Linked DNA regions of Drosophila melanogaster. The protein of the gene in region 1 purifies or fractionates together with the protein of each later gene. This does not show direct contact. Each region holds a gene or a part of one and is shown on either strand. Other genes may lie near its edges.

Region 1 (5,970 bases):
GTAAAGATTCATTAATCAGCGCAAAACCAACAAACATCATCCCCATGTATAGATTAGAGGATACGAATAGCGGCGGCGTTATGGATAAGAATAAACAGAAACGTAAGTATTATCCACTGATCCTTTTCCAAAAAAAAAAAAAAAAAAAAAACTAAGGATCATATCGCTCGGACCGCTCCAGAAACTGCCAAATATTTCATCAACCTTTCACCATTGCAAACCCAGTTTATAACCACTTCTTTTTGTCAATTGAAGTATATCCTGCGAATTTATTCGGTACAATCATTTTTTTAGTGTAAATTGAAGTTAGTTTTTATTGCCATATAGATGGTACTTTGTGCCAATCGAAAATTGTAGTGCTATATTGTAAATACGAGGGGACTGACTATAAATCAAATAAAAGTCAGTCATTTTGCAAATACACTTGACATTCCAAGATAAAAAATGGTGTTAATGTGGCCGCAGTAGTACAGCTGTAACGATACTACATTATTTACCTTTCGAGAATAAATCAGTTCAATATTACTGCTTTCGATGGCAGTGCCATGTTCTGCAATAATTCCACGCAAATGGGGCATATCACCGATAATAATAATTAGTATCAGGATCAGGTGCTATTTTAAATAATGGCCAGATTTCGAACAGCTAATTTGGGCTGCCTTTCCCCACCATTTCCACCGCTTTTCCTGCTCAGGCGAGGAATGCAACAATGTCACTGCATTCATTCAGTAAATAATATGTCCAACTGTTTGCTTATCACTCAACCGTCACCGTCTGTATTTGTTCCAATCCGCACTGTTTTGAAAAACCCGTAAGTCTATGCGGGACTTCCCCATTATTTGCCAAATATGTCGAGACTTTAGTATCCGATTAGCTGGCGCCGCCATCTGTTCATAAAGTTGTCAAGTGGTGGGTAATAGTAGTATTACAGTCGCAGTCACGTCACGATGTGAGTCACCTGCTCCGGATGCAATTATCGATGGTGTGTGATTGTTGGTAGTGGCCCTATCCCCCCCCCCCCCCTCATTCCTCGCCCAAAATGCAAGTGGCCAAAAAGGTGGCGGGGAGCGAACGCAAAATGTCGTCAACTATTTTTATTTTCGGCCGAGAGACGCGACAGACAAACAACGAACATGAGAACTTTGGGGCAAAGATCCCACATTGCGAACGGAGGATCGGATCGGATCGGATCGGATGGGATCCCTATAAATAGAGGGACTGGTGGCTATGCTCCTGCGAATCTTTCGAGGGGCCCCGAACGCATTAATTATTCAACTCTTCCATCGATTGGCAAGCGTTCAATTTGTTTATTATAAAAGCAAAATATTTTTTAATTGCTTTGGCGAAATGGAAAACACAAATTAGCTTGGCGTGTAGACAGACATTTACATAACTCGAAAGAACACAAGTTTATAATTATTTCAAAATCGTTTGGCATTACTGGGCATTTTAGTTTCGAAAACGATTTCCTATTTTTATGGCCCACTCTGCCAAGTGGCAGCTCAACCAGTTATACAGTTTTGTAACGCACTGCATTATGTACACACACTTTTTGCCTGGGGTTAATTACATTTTATTTTAATTTCACATTTCGTTTGCTTTGTTTTGATTTCCTTGACTTGCCGACGACGCAAAAGCCGAAACAAAGAAATGCATACTTACATATGTATGTATGTATGTATGTATGTATATTTGTATCTTTGCGCGCACGAGACAAGTGCGAGCACTTTCCCACCCACAACCACCCAGCGTTCCCCCATTTACCCCACATGCATTCGCTACATGTCACTACGCTACATGTCATTATTGAAATGCCATTATCAACGAAAAGCGGAACTCCCTCTGTCAAAAAAAACACTTGTGATAGAAAACAAAAGGCCAGCCAGAAGTGAGCTTTTCACCAACAATAATGGGGGAGAATACCTAAGAAAACCGATTTATTCGTTTGTGGTTAATCACAAGCAAGTGCAAGTAACTCTGTGATCAATATGGAGATACTGAAAGGTATTTACCCAACACTGTTTCAATCAGTTGAGCTTCTTCAACACCAGAGATGTGCACTCCGAAACAAAGGTCGAAAGGTATGGATTTGACCAAGAGATATCACCAAGAGATTTTTCTATTTCCCATTTACTCAAATGCAATTGTGCAACACTGAACGAGTCTAGTGTAGTGTTAATATAGCGAATTCCGATGCCAGATAGCCGGGCATTCCCTACTTTAGCTTCATGATCATTACCACGCCGAGATCGTGATGATCGTTGCTGCAATCTCGCTATCGGCGCTCGGCTTCGTTCGTGTGTTCCGCATAAGTGCAGCAAAAAAGTGCAAAAACACCAAGTGAAATAAAAGAGCAGGGAGAAAACACGGTTCCGTATAAATAAAACAGACGACAACAACAACAACAACGACGAGTGGCAAACTTTGGGGACAGAACTGGGGGAACAAAAACCGAGGCAGTTTGCGCTGAATTTTCACACGAAACAGACCGCGCTTCATACAGCCAGATCCAAATGGATCTTAAATTACTTAAATAAACTATATAAAAATAAACGAAATAAGCATATCATTTTGATTGAAAAAAGGAAGCGGTTAGTGCAAAGTGCGTTCGCGATTCCGATTGCGATTCCGATTGCCAGTGATATGTCGACGGCCCTGGTTTATTGGCAGTCAATGAATGGCGGCGATCCGGTTGACAAGGCCACCGCGGATTGGGCGCCATTCGTGGTTGGTGCAGCAGCTGGTGGCAGCTTCAGTAGCAGCATCATCACCAGCAGCAGCAGCAGCTTGAACCACCATCCGCACAACGGCCACCACAATCACCATCATCCGCCTCATTACATCAATTATTTGGCGCAAATTGGCTGCCAGCATCGTGTCAGAAATTGGCCAACAAATGGCAATCAGGATCAGGCGGATGACGACGACGCTGGCCATCAGATCATCTCTAAATTCCTGCCCAAAAGTGCCTGGGACACGGTGCTGTTGGATGTGAAGCGGGATGTAGATGAAGATGGAGATAGAGATAGAGATCGGGTCGATGGCAATGTGCTGATGGTTCAGGGATCGTCATCATCATCATCGAGAATGAAGGCGGAACGGGCACTCTATTATACTAGTAAGCCCATTGGATGAAACAGAGAAGTTGGCCTAGAAAAATTTGTTGCATGTCAGTTTAACTGACCGACAACTTTTTTTTTTGCGTTTGCACAATTAGTCAACGAATAGAAAGGAAAAGTATCTTTGCTCTCGCCACATGTTTTTTTGGAAATTAGAAATGGAGTGTTGGAATATCAAATGTCGCGGATTATCATCGAAAACACAGCTGCTGCCACTTACAGGTTTTACCCTGTTGCTTGATTTTTTCATTCTTGTTTATAACGTTGGGTCTATTTTTGTTGCACAAGCCATCAGCGAACGAAGAGCGAAGAGCAACAAAACAAAAAGAGTGAGCATGTGAAATGGTCATAGGAACGTGGGGAAATAGAATCTACAAACGGCAGAATTATGTATCTGCGCCTGCATATTGTGTAATAATTTCAGTTCAGTTCCGTCTGGTTCTAAAATTAAGGTAGAGCTTCTTTTTTACTTACCTCTGCTGGCCTGCCAATGCACAGGAAAAAAATATTGCTAGCAAAAGTAGATTCTTCGGAAAGGAAGAGAAATGTTCCAATTCGTTTTTTTTTATATGGCAGCATCATGTGCTTACTATCTTTAACTCACTAGTATGACCACCAATTCAACAACTAATTTTAGAACGAATTTTGCATCTTGAGTTAAAAAAAGAATGCATGACTCTGGGCTGGCTCTATATCAGATCTTAAATGGGAATTGGCAGTGTTTTTCCTGCGGTGTGTGTCCACACTTTTCGCCCTACCCTTTGCTTTTATTATCGTTTTGGCAACTCTTGACGCTGACGTAGTCAGGTGTGCAAGAAAACAGGTGCATTTTGCAGAGGAGCGGTGTCCGAGCGATCCGGTCAATGAACCAGCACAGAACGGCGCACAACGAAGGCGGCAAGCAAATACATCGCAATAATTATATATACACACATATATATTTGTATAATTCCCGCCGATATCTGATAGTATCTCTGATCTCTTCCTTTCTCTTACGCTCTAGTGTCCGCTTATGGGTCCAGCGGCGGCAGCGTCGACGCAGCGCAGGGCAGCGGAAGCGGGGGCGGAAGACAGCGCCACGCCCCACTCTACGGGCGATTCGTCGACGCAGAGGATCTGCCTGCCACGCACCGGGATGTCATGCACCATGTGAGTATTATCAACTAGCATTATCCTTATCTTCAATCCAAAACATGCATTTACACACAAAGGACATGCAGAAGTTGTGTTTCTTTCTTTTAGAAATTGTAGAACATTTTTTGTTTAGAAAAAATCCACAAATATTTCAACGGAGCCGTGTAAAAGATAACTTTACTTCGTTGAATATGAACTTACTTTTTCCCATGCTCTACTTAAATTAAAACATGCAATTAGAAAGGTTTATGGCGCATTTGAGAAAGCCGCGCCCTCGGAAGAACAAAGAATGGTATTTTTCAGGACTGGTTTTGCCTTTCTCAATGCGGCCATTAAGACTGCGTATTTATGTTAATAACGAAGCTTAGCAAGTACATTAATAATGTTGTTTTAAGAAATTAAAGAGATTGTGTTCAAAATAAAAATGATTTGATCTGAGCACGATCTGAGCCAAAGCTAGCTGGGCATCACTTTATTGAACAGTTTGAGTAATACGTTCTCCATCTCATTCCACAGCACTCTAGTCCCTCGTCTTCGTCGGAGGTGCGCGCCATGCAGGCCCGGATTCCCAACCACTTTCGGGAGCCCGCCTCGGGACCTTTGCGCAAGCTGAGTGTCGATCTGATAAAGACCTACAAGCACATCAACGAGGTGAGTGTGGCCCATAACTGGCGTTTAATCTGGTTAATCTACAAGCAAAACATATGAGAACCAATTGATAATTGGATATTTGATCATAAAATCCTATGTTTATCGTGGCAATATTGAGTTTGGATCATGTTTACCAGGTTCTCTTGTCGTTACAATGCACATAACTTTTCTGTTTTCATTTGCATTAGTAAATAGTGATTCTATTGATATTTTAGCTTGGCAAGATTCCATATCATTTCAAAAAGTATATTCTATCTAGTTTATGTAACTGTCTACCTTATCAATTACCATTGCGATGATGTTGTTCTTGTAGTCTGCAAAACTACGAAGGAACCTTGGCATCCATCCATCCCGATTTCTTTCTTCTTTTTTTTTTATTTACGCTTATATGTCGATCGGAATTTCGTCGGGGGCTTTTCTCGTCTTGTGGCTTTCTTTTTTCGGCTGTCTGACTATCTGCTGACAGCGGATATTTGTGGCGTTGAGCTGGGCTAAAGATACGTTTGTCCTTGACCCGTTCGTGGGGTCAATTCCCCCAACAGCGTCACCGTTCCCCCGCAGCCAGCCATTTGCAGTTGGCTTCGATTGACGTCGTCTGCCGCCTCGGTTGACAACAGCCGAAAAAAAATAAATAAATAAAAGGAGCATAAATGCTACACGCAACTGTCTCGGTTCTCCTGCCAAGTTCCCAAATTTCTCAACGAGAACGTCCCCCGAATAACTAATACTTGTTTCTTGATGGCCTCTCATGGAAACTGTCAAATGACGCTATGACAAAATGCCGCCGACCTAAATCGGTGATTATGCGCCTTGAGTGGGTGGGGCGAATGTCGCATGCCTCATAAAAATGTTAATATTTCACGCAGTTTGAGTTCTTACGAGTTGCACGCAACTTTTCCCAATAAAAAAAAAACCTTCACTTTCTGGCATTAAGGATAGCTACTATATTCTATATTTTCTTTGACAAAGCGTACTTAATTGTAATTAATTTAAACCGGCATCTTAAAATGTAGCTTATTCTCAACGGAAGTCAAACATATTGAAATCGGTAAATGAGAATGCTGCA
Region 2 (7,488 bases), 4.6 Mb from region 1:
GCACCGCTTCCGGTGATGCTGATGTGGTGACTGCCGCTGGTGGAGTTGCTGCTGGTGGTGCTGCCGCTGGAGGTGCCGACCGCCGATGTACCGTAGAGACTGCCGCTGCCCGCCGCTGACGTTGACGATCTACGCGGCGCAATTACACGCATATTAATGGCAGCAGCGGCAGTGATCAAGCCCCGGGTTCCGGATGAAGTCGAGAGTGTCCTTGGTCTGCTGGCAGCACGTGGTATTGCTGAGCGGATGATTCCTGTTTTGTTTCCGGTCTTGCTTCGCTTTCTCTGTTTTTCGTGGGCTATACGGCGGAATTCAGTTTCATTAATGGAAATCACAGCGTCAACGTGTCCATGTACCCACCTGCGTCACGTTATTTACATTATCATCGCATTATATCCCTAGGATTAGGTTAGTTTTAAACTTAATGGCTGCATATGTGCTACATCTAAGACCCGTTCTTGTTGCTGCTAAAGTTGTAGGCGAAACTGAAAAGAATGGAATTTTAGAAGGCCCTATTTATCAAATTAATTCGAATTCAAAACCTCATACTAATCGGACCATAATATTCTAACTTCTTTATCAAAAATATACCCAAAAGATTGGAAAATGCCCAGTGTAAATGATCTAATGAGGGAACATCTTTTAATCAAAACCACATTTTTATGACGGTACTTTTAGTAGTGCAAACAATTCTAAATTGTCAAGACCTTGTCCGTTTACATTTGATTCACTTATTGGAGAAATGAAGGCTTGCAGGCGCAAGGTTATCTTGAATTCTGCATAAGATAATGCGAAACCCTTCAAGCGGAACTCCTCGTCTTTCTTCCCCTTCCCACGATTGATTTTTCACAAGCGCAAAAAACACCCACGCACATCTCGGGAATTTGTGGCCTTCGATTTGTCCCTGATGAACAGTTAGGCGGAGAGTGGAAAACCGATCGACACTTGTTTACAATCGCAAAATAGTAATAAATAGAGAAAAGCCGTTTTCAAGTTTGCCATAACAACAACTTCAGTGTGACGCTGGCTGGCTGAACTGGGTAGGGGCGGTGTGGGACGCGGACGGCTGTCCTTATGCGGTAACACTTAAAATGAAGTTACGTTCGTGTGTGTGCCGCCAGGCTGTCTACGCTCCCATTCGAGAAAACCGTTGCTTTTACATACATACATGCACAAGTGTAAGGCTCTGCGGGTGGTGTAGTGCAGGGGGATGGGAGAAGCGGGTGGTAGGCCTTAACTAACATAAGATGGCCACACTTTCACGAATCGATCTTTCGTTCATAAAATGCTACAACTACACTACAGCCCATTCACACACATTCACTTAAAAAAATTGAATTATCCAAGCTCACACAATCGCACGCGAGTACCCACAGGTGTAGCTGAACTTTTTCAACGGTTACCACGATTAGCCGCTTTCTTTAGACACAAAACTCATACATTCTTTGCACGTCAAAATCGAAATAATTGTGATAAAAGCAAAAACAATATATAAAACGAAACGAAATGAGATTCTATTTTTAAAAGGTGCACTCACACACGCGCGTACGTTTGGCAGTGAAATGTGTGAGGGAGAGGGGGCGAGCCAGGGTAGTAGTAAAACAGTGCCGAGATTGTGCGCGCGAGCGATGTAGCACTATTGGCTACACGGTCACACACACACACACAGGCGCCAGGCAGCGTACGAATTACGCAAAGTGAAATATCTTTCTCAAAATGGAAAGTGGAAAAGTGACGACGACGGCTATTAGGAATTTTTCATACATCCACGGAACACAAAAAATGTACAAAGGCAAATGCGTATATAAAGTGTATAAATTCATACTAAGATAGAAAACAAATGGGCGAGGGGATGGGTGGCGAAGGTGAAAATTTGACCGCAAAACGAACATCACGAGGCGAACGAGGTCGCGCTGCCGAAAGTCCCGTCTCTTAATGATATCCCACAAATTTTAACGCCAGCCAAGCGACATCATCGTTTTGCACCGCAAAAGGGCCTTTTTCCGGTCGAATTAAAGCAATTTTTTTTTGCACAACACAGAACTCACTTTTTAATCCTATTTTTTTTGCTAGTGTGGCCGCACGCCGAAACGAAGTCACCGTCACTAGATTTTGAAGATAGGTTAACTGTTCTTCGATAACTATCGAAGAACTATGCCTGATGCATGTATGGTTGGTGTACTTGCTAACAGATGAGCAGAGGCCTTCTTAATGTTCCATTTACACAGAATTCCATCATATGGGATTTGAAAAATATGCTTCAAACTTAATAGTTTTTGCACAAAACGCCAATCGAATTATATTTCCAGTTCCAGGGAAAAGATTTCTGGGTGGAAATAAACACACAACTTTCAATTCTTAATTAGACTAAAGTCAAGCCTAGAATATTATATATTACAGTTCAATATAATTTAATACAGAATTTTGTTTTAAATAAATAGTATTTTGTTTATCTGGTATATAACAATGATTTTGCACAAGGTATTTCTTATAGCTATCTGCGCGGTCACACTGTTTTTGTGTGAAAATTCTGTCGAAAAGAATGTATTAAAAGTTCTTTGAATACTAATTCCGTGTAATTCCGACCGTGCTGTTTCAGAAAACTGTGGTTGGATTGGAAACTTAACCAAATTATAAGGTAAAACCGGGGCAGCTTGCCCATCGAAGGACCGCCACAAACGAATTTTCGCGTCGCATTACGTTTTAGTGTTGCCACCTTATACGGAGTGCCGGGCACAATTCCACTTGCTGGCCAAACGGATGCGTTGCGGTCGCGATGTGCACGCCGTTGAATTAATTCCTTCGCCCTGTTGATTGAGTACAGTTCGACTTCTCCGATCGGTGTCCTCCAGACCTAAATTTCGCCGGAATAACGACGGCAAACGGACGGACGGACTCTAGTCGGAAAACGGGCGAGCTGGCAATACTGCCAGTGCACAAAATGATGTGAATCTCGGAAAAGAGGAAAGCTACAGGAAAAGCCAAGGAAAAGCAAGCCGGTAAAGTGTGCAAATGCGAGTGGCAAGCAAAGACCTTTGTTTCCCATTCCATGAAGTTTTCTTGAGTTGTCCGCTGCTGTGAGTGGTCATTATCAGCCATCATCATCATTGTCGTCATCATCACCAAAGGAGCTCGTCGTCATTAGGCCGGCCACCAGCTAAACGGCATTGAGAAAACTCAGCAGCACCTTGTCATCCAAGTCTTGATCTTCGTCTTGGTCTGGATATCCGTATCCAATCACACAGTTCAGGTGGGTTCTTGATCCAGACTCCGAATTCGAATACGAGTCCTAGATTCTCATGCTGATCCTTTTCCATATCTACAGTTATGTCCTCGACCGCCGGAAAGCGCAAGGAGATCTACAAATATCTCGCGCCATGGCCACTGTACTCCATGAACTGGAGTGTAAGGCCGGACAAGCGATTCCGGCTCGCACTGGGCAGCTTCATCGAGGAGTACAACAACAAGGTACAGATCATCAGCCTGGACGAGGACACCAGCGAATTTAGTGCTAAGAGGTATACCGAATATTTGTTTAGCTGATCCCTTCTACTTTCTGTTTTCATTTTATATTTCGTATATTATCTTTAAAAAATAATATAAAATGATAAGCAGTTTTGATATTATTGTAATCATTTTAAATATGAATAGTTATTTGGTTATACGAACCATTTTTCCGAAATCCCCTTCCTCACTGACAGATTATTTCTTCTTCAAATAGCACCTTTGATCATCCATATCCGACAACCAAGATCATGTGGATCCCGGACTCCAAGGGTGTCTATCCGGATCTGTTGGCCACCAGTGGCGACTACTTGCGGGTGTGGCGTGCCGGGGAACCGGACACGCGGCTCGAGTGCGTACTGAATAACAACAAGAACAGCGACTTTTGCGCTCCCCTCACTTCGTTTGATTGGAACGAGGTGGATCCCAATCTGGTGGGAACCTCATCGATAGACACAACCTGCACTATCTGGGGACTGGAGACCGGACAGCCGCACGCTCGCGTCTATGTGGCAGGACACGTGAAGACGCAATTGATTGCCCATGACAAGGAAGTATACGACATTGCTTTTTCGCGGGCCGGCGGCGGTCGGGACATGTTTGCCTCGGTGGGAGCGGACGGGTCGGTGCGCATGTTTGATCTGCGGCACTTGGAGCACTCGACCATTATATATGAGGTAAGTAGAACGCGCGAAAACACAAAAACGGATGACTACATAACGATAAATCCAATAGGATCCTGCTCATACGGCGCTGCTGCGCTTGGCCTGGAACAAACAGGACCCGAACTACTTAGCCACCGTTGCCATGGACTCGTGCGAAGTAATAATTTTAGATGTTCGTGTTCCTTGTACACCCGTTGCAAGACTGAGCAATCACAGAGCGTGCGTCAACGGTATTGCGTGGGCGCCGCATAGGTGAGACTATAAGATTCCTTAAACCTAAAATGTGCCTAAACAATTTGTATTTTGGTTTGCAGTTCCTGTCACATCTGCACTGCCGGTGATGATCACCAAGCACTGATCTGGGATATACAACAAATGCCACGTGCAATCGAGGATCCAATTTTAGCCTATACAGCTGCCGAGGGCGAAGTCAATCAGATTCAGTGGGGTGCCACACAGCCCGACTGGATAGCCATTTGCTATAACAAAGCGTGCGAGATCCTGCGGGTCTAAGTAATTTTTTTTGGTCTGGTCCTTGCTGAAGCACCTGACTGCAATTGCTGAACAACGCACAGTCAACAAAGAAGCAAGTCAGAAAAACACACAACACCCACAAATAAACATACATTTGCTGTTGGTAACTTGGAAGCGGAAAGCAGTGAGCTTAAGTTGGATTAGTTCTGTCAACACGCGTCCGCAGTTTGTTTAATTTTACTGTCTGTCGAGAGAGAGAAAATGTGAAAGTGACGGATATAGAGGCAGAGAAATGGAAAGAGAAAGGGCTTAAAAGAAAGATATGAGTTTGAGGGAAAGAGAAGAGGACGAAGCACTTATTCTAGAATTCTTAGCTGAGTTGATCTAACAAGTATGTAATTATATAAGGTATAACCAAAATATGTTTTATAATTGTAGTTTATTTCACACTTGACAAATCCCGACACTCACACCCCCGAAAACTCCAATCAATTAGAGCCGCTTAATCTTTTTTATTTCGTTTTTATACGAACCCAAATGGAATGCAGAAGAAAAAGAAATCATATTTATTATAACACAATGTCCTACCTCGTTTTTTCAAACATGAATGCTGTTAATCGAGTTTTCGAGTCTGGTCAAAACAGCAACAACCACAAAAATACACAGAGAACAAAAAATGAGAGGTAAAAAAGTAGCCGGCAACAACGCTTTTTCGAAATATTTTTACTTTGTTCGATTTTTGTAACAGATCCAAAAAACGGAAAAACGACAAAAACAAGAGATAAAGAAAAACAAAAGCAAAACCATGGACTTAAGCAATTGCAAAACAAACATAATATGAAATGAATTAAAGAAATAAGCGAAATACTTACATAGATTAAAGATTAAAAACCAAACCAGGAAACTGATGACGAACTGCACACAACACAGCTAGAATACAATACTATTTAAAGATACAAACTAAAAGATAAAACAAATACCGAAATATATGAGCGAGAGAGAATACAAGATTGTTGCTATATCCATTTAACAAACGAGCGAAAATAAGCAAACAAACTATGATCATTTCAGATAAGACACGACCCTCCATCAATAATCTCAAATCTTAACCACATCCCATACTTTCCACAGGACAAAGCGACTTTTTCAGATAAAATCGAATACATTTTTTTTATGTATCTTGTAATTTATAGCAATTTCACAACTTATATATAAATATGTATACAGAAAGCGATAGCAGTAATAATAATCCCGATGATCGTGTATTGTAAATACAGCATGAAAGGCATATTTTAAACGAAAACCAACTTAGGCCCTGATTTTGTATAGCCATTTAAGAGGCCACTTCACGGGAATTTATATCCTCATATCCGAATACTTTTTCGTTTGCTGCAGAAGAGTAAGAAACTGAAATCAAGTCTATGGAATTTGGAATTGGATATATTTTATACGCTCGTAGCCACTAGGCGAAGACATTTTCATTAATTTGGCAAACCACGGTTTCCGTAAAAAAAATAATCGAAAAAAAACCAAGTTAGAATATAATTTTTAATTTAATCTTTATTTTCGTGTGCCCTGTTTTGCATTATCCGACTTACGTTACATTTATATATGAAATGTATATGTACACAAACACACACACACACACACACACACACTCAAGCGCATATATATATGAGCATCCGATCGGGCTAAAGTATTTACTAGAAAGCTAATGATTGATCGATGGAATGGATGGATCACAAAAACCAAACAAAACAAAAGATCACTGAGGAGTTTGAGAAAACAAACCAAATCAGACAAATATTTAAATAAACCATTTTTAAATAATGAACACAGTCTCAAATTAAATCGGGAAGATCTTCGGGTGCACAAATGTTGCTGATGTCCACTACTCCTCCGTGAAACGCTTCCTCCGGTTTCCCATCTTTTTTTCCTGCATCAAAAGGGGCGGCAGGGCTACATGAAAAGGTAGCTAGGATTTGTGGTTCATGATATACAATGAACTGGATGAACTTACCTTTTAGTCGGGCTTTTCTTGGCTATCAGCAGCTCGTTAACTTTTAGCTTCTTAAGATTGACCACAAGGTGACCTGTAATCTGGGAACGCTGCACAGTGGACTCATCCGGCTTGACCTCCTCGCTGTACGCGATCTGGAAGATCTTTTTTTTGACGGTGACTCTAGTGTATGTGGTCTGCACATCGACGTCAATTAGAGAGGTATCCAGGTGTCTGGGCGAAGGAATATACATATGCAATATTAATTAAGAATTTTGAAGTGTATGTATATGATTGGGGCGTAGAAACGATCAAGCAATACCAATATCGATATACATATGTAATATGTTGGTGATAACTTGTAAGATATGTATAAGTTTGGTTAAGACATCTTAGCCTAGCTTACCTGTACACCTCCAGTTGGAGCAAGTAATGGTCGGCCTCATCCCGAAACTTAAAGGGCAGTTTGGCCTGGTTCAGATTGTAGGGTCTGCCACAAGGAGCGAAGAGGTTGCGCTGTGGCTTCAGAGGGTCCAGTGGGGACTTGGTTTCGTGCCGCTCCCGTCCCAATCGGTGTTGCCGAGCGATCTCTGTGCGAATCTCCGGGCAGTGCTCGCTCTTCGCCTGCCAAAAGGCCTTTATGCGCTCTTCTTCGTCCTCTATGCCGGCACAATGTTCAGCCAGAGCGGACTGCTGCTTCGCCACCCGGATACGCTGCTCATCACGTTCGATGTCCTGTTCTACCTGCTTCTGAACAATGATGGACCGGTTCTTGGACAGTTCCCGCAACGCTCGCAGACGTTCCGAGGGAGTGATCTCCACGCAATCCAAACTGTTCAGCTGTGG
Region 3 (9,237 bases), on another chromosome or scaffold:
TTCATCCTTAAAACGAAAACATATAAATAATTGGTGAAACTTTAAATGTTGGTAATTAGCTTACATTGAGCAGGGGAAACTCTACGCGCACATAAGTATCCACGTCCTTGGGATTGGCCACATTGTAGCTGATTCCCCGGACCACAACAATTTCAAGCTCACTGTCTGTGAGATCTGTGTTGCAATGCACAATGTTGAAGCTACGCTTTTCATAGTGAAACTTTGGCAGTGGTTCATTCTTTCGTTTCGAGTATCGCACCAAATCCAAATCCTTTTGCACAGTTAAGGCTAAATTTTCAAACCGATTCATGCCTGCTACATCTCCCATAGCTTTGTGATGATCTCGCGTATTTTTGCACATCATCAGTTGTTTTGCCAGCTGCTCCTCCATGCGAACACCAATTTCACAGATATCATCTGTCGGATCGCATTCCTCAGCAGATACAATGGCAAAGGAGGCTTCTAGATTATCCCTTTGTGAAGGCGGGACGGGAAGCTGAAAAAAAAAAATATATAGTTAGCCATACAAGAAGAAGATGTAATGCAAAACTTACAGTGCTGAGGTCCACTGGCAATCCACTACTCGCTGCATTAAGAAGGGAATCGAATCCCTTGAAGATCTTGAGGTACTCCTTCGCCTGATCTATTTCTCCCGCTTTTTTGGCCTCTATAGCAGCTAGCTTAAACTCCTTTTGGCGCTCGAGGAGCAGTTTCATTTGTTGCTCGGCAATATTATTCTTCTGCTGATTGCCAGACGTGCGTGTTGTTAACTCTTTGGGCTTAGGAGGTGAAGGTGCTTTTCGAGGAGCTGTAGGTGTCGTCGCACTGGAACTGGAGGGTGTTCCTCCTGCGGAAGTACTTGCTGTTGGCGGTGGAGATGTAGGCGAAGTGGGCAGCGACGGTGTCGGCGCGACAGGAGCAGCATCAGCCGTAGGCAGCGGTCCAAAACCTGGTGGCACAGGCAGCTCATCGTAAGGCACTGGTTTGCCTGCCTTGTACAACTTTATGGCATCTTCGTATTGCTTCACAATCCTTCCAAAGCGTCTTGCTTTTCCGCTATTGTTTTCTGCCTTGGCTGCCGCTTCTACAGATTGATATTTCTCTAAACGTTGCTGCAGAGCCTCCAACATATTTGTTGCAGCTGCTAGAACAGGAGCAGGAGCAACAGGTGTGGGTTCTGGGGCAGCAGTAGGTTCTGCGACAGCTTCTGCGGCTGCTTCTTCTTGCATTTTTTTAAGGAATTCAAGAAACTCAGCTGGTGGAGGGGGCATGTCACTCAAATCAACTTCCTGTCCGTCTTCACACATTTTTATAACTACGTCAAATTGCTTGACCACTTTGAGAAACTGAAGGGCAGTAGATATGTCACCACTGCGCTTAGATTGCAGTGCAGCAGCTTTGTAGTCCGTCTGGCGGCTGCGCATTTGCGTCACAAGAGGATTAGGGGGAGATGTGGGAGCCACAGATGTAGTGGGCTCCACGGGGGTGCCGGGGGTTGGTGGATCTGGAGCTGCACGACTAGGCACAGGCGGAGGGGAAGCAGGTGTGGAAGGAGCTGGTGACTCCTCTGCAGGCACTGGAGGAGCCTGCCCGCCAATTGGCTTTACACTGACTTCAGGTGGAATGTCATCCACGTTAATGGACTTGCCAGCCGCTGCCTGCCTGTGCAGATCTTTCAGAGTCTTAAGGCCTCTTCCAAATCGCCTTGCTTTGCCAGAATCGCCGGCAGTCTTGGCATTGGCCTCGGCCTGCTTGTACATTTCCAGGCGCTGTTTGATAATGCTTAATGTGTCCACAGTCGTCGTGGGCAGAAAGGTCTGGACGGGTTCCTCAGAGGCAGCTGGCGGTTGTGCGACAGGCTCCTCTTCCTCTGCCTCCTCTAGACCACCGATTCCGCTCAGCTCGCCAAGAAGATCCGGATCGCTTTCCAAATTGTCATCATCATCATCGTCGCTGACATCACGCAAGCTGTCGGCTATCATTTTGTCCAAATCACTGGCGGGTAACAGCTTTGCTTTGGGCTTGGGCTTTGGCTTGGCTCCTTCTCCGCCGGTTATGGCCGCAAGCTCTGCCTCCAAATCACTGTCACCCCCATCGTCCTCACCATATCCAGCGCTGGGATCAAAATCATCTGGGATTTCCGTAAGACCGAACTAAACACAAAAAACAAAAAAGACAGTCCAAACGATGAGTCATAATTAATAAATAGACGGATCTAGACTGTTTGTTTTTCCTCTCACCTGCGATAAATCGTGTTGCCTTCTTTTCGCTGGCTCTGGCTTCTTTCTGGAGAACATCCTTGATTGCACAGAGGCTGTTTATTAACTAAAATAAGTCTATAAAGACTTTCAAATCCTTTAAATTTTTGCGTCGCAACAGTTCAGCCGCAGACAACAATAACAGAGTGGGGATCACTGTGGTGCAACGAAAGGTGACGCAGGAAAGTCTTTGCGAATTGGTGACGTCAGTGGCACAGGGCTACAGGAAATTTGTTGACGGTTAAAAAAATATCGTTAAAAATAATGAAGAAATGATTTTTTCTTCATTCAGCAACATTAAATTTTATTATAGTTTAATCCATAATGAAATATAAATGAACATGGTAAGCCACCTTACAAAACATCAATCCTGCGGAACTAAACTTTTGCCGGTAACTAGGGCTGCGAAACGCTAACAGGTACAGGGCTGCCGCGCCAGCTGTCTAATCGAATCGATACCGCAACCTATCGATATCGAGAGCCAGCGCACACACAGTGCAAAAGAGTTTGCGAAAAAAAACCTGGACAAAAAGCCAAATTGATTGTGCGCCGAGCAGCTTGAGGCACTAGGTGTACCCTCGTCGACCAGTGCCGTGAATCCTCTAACCATCGTGGTTGTGGTGGCACCAAGAAGTTAGCGAAACCATCGTCCCCGCAGTTCTCCCAGCTTCCACCTCCTCCAACTCCGTCTTGGGGGCCAAAGGCAGAAAATCATCAGACTTCTGGTTGTGAGCAGCGCGGGGCAGCGGGGTCGGCACTGGCCTGCTGGGTTAAACGTGGAAGTAAACAAACGAATTGGATTCCGGGTCCAGGACGGACGAACGGGGCGTGGCTCGTTAACCAGCGGCTTGGTAAACGAAACCAGAGACGGCAACAAGTAGGCGACAGGCATGGACGTGTCCCTCACTGAGCCGGAGACGCGCTTCTACAGTGAGTTGTTCCAATGCTGCGACGTGGAGAAGACAGGCAAGGTGCCCATGCTTAAGGCCACCGAGCTCTTTCGCTCGGCGGACATCGCCAATGAGACCGTGATTGAGGTAGGTCCAATTTGTGTGATCGTGAGTGATTAATTATCTGGGTCTGGGCTTATAGATCACCGGTCTGGCGGGGATACCCTCCACGGCGCTACACATCTCGCGGACACAGTTCTACTCATGCCTGAAGCTAATCGCTGCTCATCAGGCGGCCATGCCCCTGCGCCAGGAGCTGATCTTGGCCACGTTTCCGCTTCCATTACCGCACTTTAGCTGGAAGGAGGCGGTTACAGCTCCGGTGGCTGTCGAAAATGGATTGACTGCCTTGCCACCGCCACCACCCACAGATCGCAGAAATTCACTGCGTCGTAACTCGCAGCAAGAGCAGCTGCAAGACACCTCTGATGTGCCCAGCACCGACTCCGAGGTTGAGCAAAACGAATCAGTGGACGATGCGACAGGCCATGGACGAGGTACGGATGGCTGTGGGGTCGTCAGCAGCAGCAGCCGCGAAAATGTCGGGGTTTGTACTTCTATCTTATCTTGTGACATTTGTAAATAAGCTTACCATTGACCGATCCCCGTCCATGCCTTATCTCTTTTAGCGACGACGAGGAGGCGGTACTGGTGGTGGATCGCCAGAAGCCTGGAGCACTAACAGTGACAGCCCCACGCCCACCAACAGCGTGGCTGAGCGGCCTTGGGCGCAGGACACCCTCTGGCAGGGTTTGCTGGGCGACGAGCATCGCCAGCTGCTAGGCACGGAGGAAGAGTCTTCCGATCGCCACAGCAGCGACGACGATGACAACGAGAGCGAATTGGTGACCATTTACCAGATAACCCCGGAACAGCGCGAGTACTATAATAAGCAGTTCAGGACGGTGCAAAGGGATCCGCATGGTCTGCTTTCGGGCCAAGCAGCAAGGTAAGTTGGCTTTAGGAACGTTTATAACTTTATTCTTCTTATTATTTTCTTATTCCTTTTTTTATTAGAAACTTTTTTGAAAAGAGCCGCATTCCTGTGGAGGAGCTACGTCACATTTGGCAGTTGTGTGACGTTACCCGCGATGGAGCGCTAAGTCTGTCTGAGTTTACGGCCGCCATGCATTTGGTGGTTCTACGGCGCAACAACATTCCCTTGCCCACAAGTCTGCCCCACTGTTTGCATCCCAACGTGCTACAAGCAGCTGCGTCCGGCAGTGGACAGGGGGTGACATCCTCGTCATCGGCGGCGCTGCCTCAGGAGCCACCTGAGGCTGATCTCCTGCACCTAAATGATGACGATGAGGACGACCATACGGATAATACAATCATAGCAGGCAATCTCAGCGGCAGCAGTACGACCAGCAAACCGCGTCCCAATGTGCCCAGCGACAAGAACATCATGAATCTGAGCAGCATATCCACGTCCTCGCAGGCTAGCAACAGTTCCAAACGTGAGGCAACACCACAGAATTCTTTGGGCAAGAACCGAAGCATCTCAAACTCGCCGAATGTGGAAAAACCTGTGTCGGGAACTGTTTCCTCTACGGCAAGCGCTGTAGACTCGACCAACGTCTCCAGTCAGTGGACAAAGTTTAGCGAATCTCCAACAACAAGTGCGGTTTCGGTACAGTCAACCACTGGGGCAGCACCTGTTGTAGCAGCCGGAGCAGCCGCTTCTGGCGCATCTAGTCCCGGGCTCAAGCCAGTCCTGTTTGATATGAAGCGCTCGGCCCAAGACGTGGTATCCAATCCGCAGATTCTGCACCCAGTGCCGCTAAGAGTGACGCCCATTGGTGAGTAGAAGAACTAAAATAGTATTCTATAAATTGAATATAAATATAATTATTCCTTATCTCATCTGTAGGCACCGCCATCGCTTCCTCAGCTGAGTCATCTAACGAAAACGAGAGCGCGGTGGCTCAGCGCGAGGATAGTCCCAAGGCCATCTCTTCGACTACTGTCAATAATCAGTCATCTGCTGTTGTACCCGGAATATCGGGAGTCGCTGGCTCCTCCCACCGCGATAGCAGCGATCTGCGTGCCATCCAACGGCCTCAAGCCAAAAAGCTGCCGGCCAAGAACAGTGCATTGCCACCGCCACCGCAACGCGAGCCCAGTATCGGATCCACTGGGCCAAGTGAGTCGCAGGAACCGCAGGCTGCCTACGTGGCATCGTCTTTGGCGTCGAAGAAGGAGCCACCGCCTCTGCCACCGCCAAGGCCACATCGTCATGCACGGAGCAGCAGTCTGGACTTAAACAAGTTTAAAATAGGCGCAACGGGCGGTGCCCAACAGGCGGAGGTATGTTATGTCCTATGGACCAACAATTTCCAATTTTATCTGAGAATTTCAATCTGTGTCGTTTTATATGCCTTGGTCATTAAATAAAGCCTTGTAGGGGATAGTATTTCGTAGATCCGCACTTATCCCCTGCAATGCTATAACAAACTAAGGAACTTCCAAAACATTCCGTGTGTTCCGTCTCTGTTTTCAATATTTGTGGTGTACTGTGCAAATGAAGGCGAATACAGTTTTGCTACAGATTCAATTTATTGAAATGAAAATACAGTGTCTTTTAAGAGTCCACAATTGTTAAGCATTTGCAAAGGAAACCGTAAACTTCGGGAAACCGAATTTGCTTATATTGTTTTTGTGTTTTTTGTTTGCTTGATTTTGCCTAACTACCTACCTATAACCTGTGAAATGTATATAAATATGGAACCCCTTTTGTTAAGATCACCGCGCAGGCCAGCTTCGATATGCAAACCTCAACGGGGTTTGCCGATTTCACGCACTTTGCCGACGAAGGCGCCGCGAACGTCGTAAGTCCAATCCTAAATGTATGCAACTCGTAAAGCATTCCACTACAATTGGCCGTAGCTCCACTAGTGTCATGTGTCCAAATTCAGTAGCTTATATAAATAAACGCATCCATTTGTATGATTGTCTTACTAATTGGTACTCTGACCTTATAGGTGGACGAGCAGCAGCTACACTCCTTGCCGCCGGCAGCACCACCGCCACAGGCAGCAGTGGTGCCGCCCACAAGAATCACTCTTCAGCAGGCACAGCAGCGCGTTTCTGCCTTCGAGGTTTACCGAAAGCCGCAAACGCCACGTGGATCGCAATCGCCGCCCCAGCAGCCGCCACCGCCGGCTCCAGCTGTTGGTTTGACCACCCAAACTGGTCAGCTGCCCAGTGCTGAGAGCTTTGAGAAGCGAGTAACCGCCATCAGTGACTCGCTACGTCACGTGTCCTTCAAACAGGGTCAGGCCAATACCACGGAAGTACTGCAACGGCTGCGGGAGCAGAACAACTCACTGCTCCACCTTTGCAACGATTTAAGTGACGAACTTCTGAGCGTCCAGACGCGCAAGGAGGAGATGCGTCTCAAGCTGGAGGGACTTAATGCCAGTGATAGTACAGGGCGAACGAGCTCCTCGATTTGCGCACCGGTGACAGCAAACGTGACCGGTGGATCCTCTGGTTCGGCAGGAGCTGCTTATACCAACGTTTAAGCAGCGAAAATGATCATGTGAATGAGGGTGAATCGATTTATTTTTGGGCGATATGTGACTTTCGTTTGCCTGTGTGTGTATTTTTGCGACCATTTTAAGTGTCTCGAACCAAAATTTAACATTCCTTATAATTTGTTATACTTTCTTTAAGCTATTAGTATATTTCCCTCTTTTCTGCACATTAAACTGCATTAGATACATATTGGGCGTAAGATTTCAGAAAAACTACGAATTAGTTTCCCTTAAATTTGAATACTAATTGAAATTACCAAAAACGGAGAAAAAATTGATAACGACCAAGTTTAATATGAAATCCTCGGATTTAAGGCAAATAGCTGAAATGAATTCATGCTATTAGTATTAATTCATTTGTTCATGCACTGAAAGAAATCGATTCACCTTTATGTTAAACACTTATTTTGTTGTTTCTGTATGTTGCAAGCACAATTTACGATTCGAGGTGCTTACACAACGATAAGACTGGGCAAATCTTTGAGTAGGCTCGTAAAATTTCGTTGTGAAAATATTTACACAGTCTGCAGATAAATATTCGCCAGATCTGAAAGTTCCAACAGCTTCTATGTAACTACCATTTGTTTACTCAAGAGCTTGCTCAGTCTTAAGCGGGTAGAAACACCAGCGATGGATCTGATAGCTCGTCCGTTTATGCATTGAAGTTGCTAATTTAATTTGTAGGCTAGTTAAATCTCAAGAACACAAAACAAATCATGCGAGAACAACAACAATAATGCCGCCTCTATAGATATTTATGCAGATCGATTTATATATGTATGTATATGTATATTTAGAGATATATGTATATGCGCTTCTCCTAATTGTTACGAGTAAATGACACACAATTCTTTCGCTTGACAGCCACTCCGCACTCCGTATCTCACCCTCACCCTAGTGATTAATGAAACTGCCACAAAGTGGTCCAATCCCAGGTGTAATATTTCCTGCTGCGAAGACATTTTACTTCTCCATTTGCTATTTATTACTGTTTTGTGTATGCCTCGAAAATGTCCCTTCTATTCATTCCGGCAATGAAAATTAAAAACCACAAAAAAAACATTAACTCAAAAATAAGAACTACAAAAAACGAACCTAAAAAGAAGCCAGGCTTAATGTTTAAGTATTAGAAAAGTGAAAGGTAAAAAATCGATAAAGAAATTCATTTCCTTGAAAGCTTAGCTTAGGTTTTTCAAAAAATATATACATCTTAATATATTTTCTATCTGTATAGTGTACACGATAAAACACAATAACACTTGATATTATCTACAATTACCAAAATTTCTTTCTACCGAAACAGGAGACAAATTTGATTTACTCGGACCACTGATTCTGTACGTATATGCTAACTTTGAATTTATCAGACATACCGGCATATATCACATCTTTTGCATATTTAAACCATTAGATATATGAGTTTTTCTTCAACTTGTTAAACATTTTCAATGACCTACCACCACACACAATCACACAAGAGAAACGAAACAAAATGTAATATGAAAAGAAAAAGTGATATTGAAACACTATGTAAACATATTATTACGTCGCTGCGTAATCAATGTGTATTGTTTTGATGGATATACATCTCTATGAATAAAGATAAATGTATTAAGTTGATGTTAAAATGCAATAAAACGAAAGTGCAACCGAAACGTGTTTTCTTGATTTCGAAAGAACGTTTCGCTGAGCGTCCATCCCTGGCATCCGCGTCGCCGATAACAGACGCTGTCCATCGATTGCCCTAGCACACGCCGCTACACACCTCTATGGTTTTGCGGCAAAAAAAAAAAAGTTTTTTGCGAAAATTTGTGAGTTTACGAGAAGCAGCCAACTAAATGGTTTAGTTTCGCTAAGTAGACGATCAATTGCTGGAGGCCAGTTTTACCAAGTACCGGCTGGGTGCATTTAGCAGGAGTAAAGGAGACCATTCGACTGCTGCGTATTGATAGGGCAGGTTGGTGTGCGAGTCGTTGCTGTTCATCAACTGGCGAAATTAATAATGTGTACCCCCATGCCGTATCATCCTCCCACCTGCAGTCAGCCGATGTGTCAATGTTAATCGCGCTCTTCGCGCTTGCACACTTGCCAATCTTTCGTAAGACGCCTTTGTCAGCCTCCTCCTCCCCGCCGCCGTCTGTCCACCGGTCGCCAAGGTGTGGCAAAGCAAGTACCGCGTACCATCCACCGCCAGCAGACGCCTGCATCAGCATTACTGCTTCAGCCATTGACGCAGCATCCGGGATGAGCAACAGCGCCGAACAGGACAAGCCGATTGCCGCCAACGGCAATGCGGCAGAGCCCCAGGAAATAGAAGTCATGTGCGTATCACCGGTTATCCAATAGACGGCCCTTGCTTAATTAATTCTTTTTTTTTTGTGCCTAACAGCCATTTCCAAGCGCAAGAGAAGCAGTGTTGCCGCGTTATTAGATCCAATAAGACCAAGGTCCTCACATCCGGCGGCGTTCACACACGCGGTTCCTCCAAGG

What was found. The genes of interacting proteins can lie anywhere in the genome.
Region 2: the proteins of mnb (region 1) and wap purify together in Drosophila melanogaster (affinity purification with mass spectrometry; 3 studies listed by BioGRID, with this or other methods). This does not show direct contact.
Region 3: the proteins of mnb (region 1) and Reps purify together in Drosophila melanogaster (affinity purification with western blotting; one study listed by BioGRID). This does not show direct contact.

Annotation. Positions count from the first base shown.
Region 1 is NC_004354.4:17,871,553-17,877,522, reverse strand, and holds the start of mnb (minibrain), read left to right. Parts: upstream 1-2,482; 5' UTR 2,483-2,643; coding exon 2,644-3,118; intron 3,119-4,122; coding exon 4,123-4,268; intron 4,269-4,769; coding exon 4,770-4,904; intron 4,905-5,970. UniProt on the Drosophila melanogaster protein: Role in the specific control of proper proliferation of optic lobe neuronal progeny.
Region 2 is NC_004354.4:22,450,424-22,457,911, reverse strand, and holds wap (wings apart), read left to right. Parts: upstream 1-2,489; 5' UTR 2,490-2,638; exon of another isoform or gene 2,639-2,852; 5' UTR 2,853-3,250; intron 3,251-3,325; 5' UTR 3,326-3,327; coding exon 3,328-3,518; intron 3,519-3,721; coding exon 3,722-4,181; intron 4,182-4,239; coding exon 4,240-4,421; intron 4,422-4,483; coding exon 4,484-4,682; 3' UTR 4,683-6,467; downstream 6,468-7,488. Other genes in the region: tilB (touch insensitive larva B), read right to left, coding at 6,485-6,602, 6,664-6,876, 7,049-7,488.
Region 3 is NT_033779.5:11,100,125-11,109,361, reverse strand, and holds Reps (RALBP1 associated Eps domain containing), read left to right. Parts: upstream 1-2,716; 5' UTR 2,717-3,148; coding exon 3,149-3,295; intron 3,296-3,350; coding exon 3,351-3,755; intron 3,756-3,837; coding exon 3,838-4,157; intron 4,158-4,225; coding exon 4,226-5,010; intron 5,011-5,081; coding exon 5,082-5,518; intron 5,519-5,952; coding exon 5,953-6,039; intron 6,040-6,192; coding exon 6,193-6,735; 3' UTR 6,736-8,399; downstream 8,400-9,237. Other genes in the region: l(2)gd1 (lethal (2) giant discs 1), read right to left, coding at 1-6, 65-496, 555-2,153, 2,241-2,297; Ge-1, read left to right, coding at 8,803-9,068, 9,137-9,237.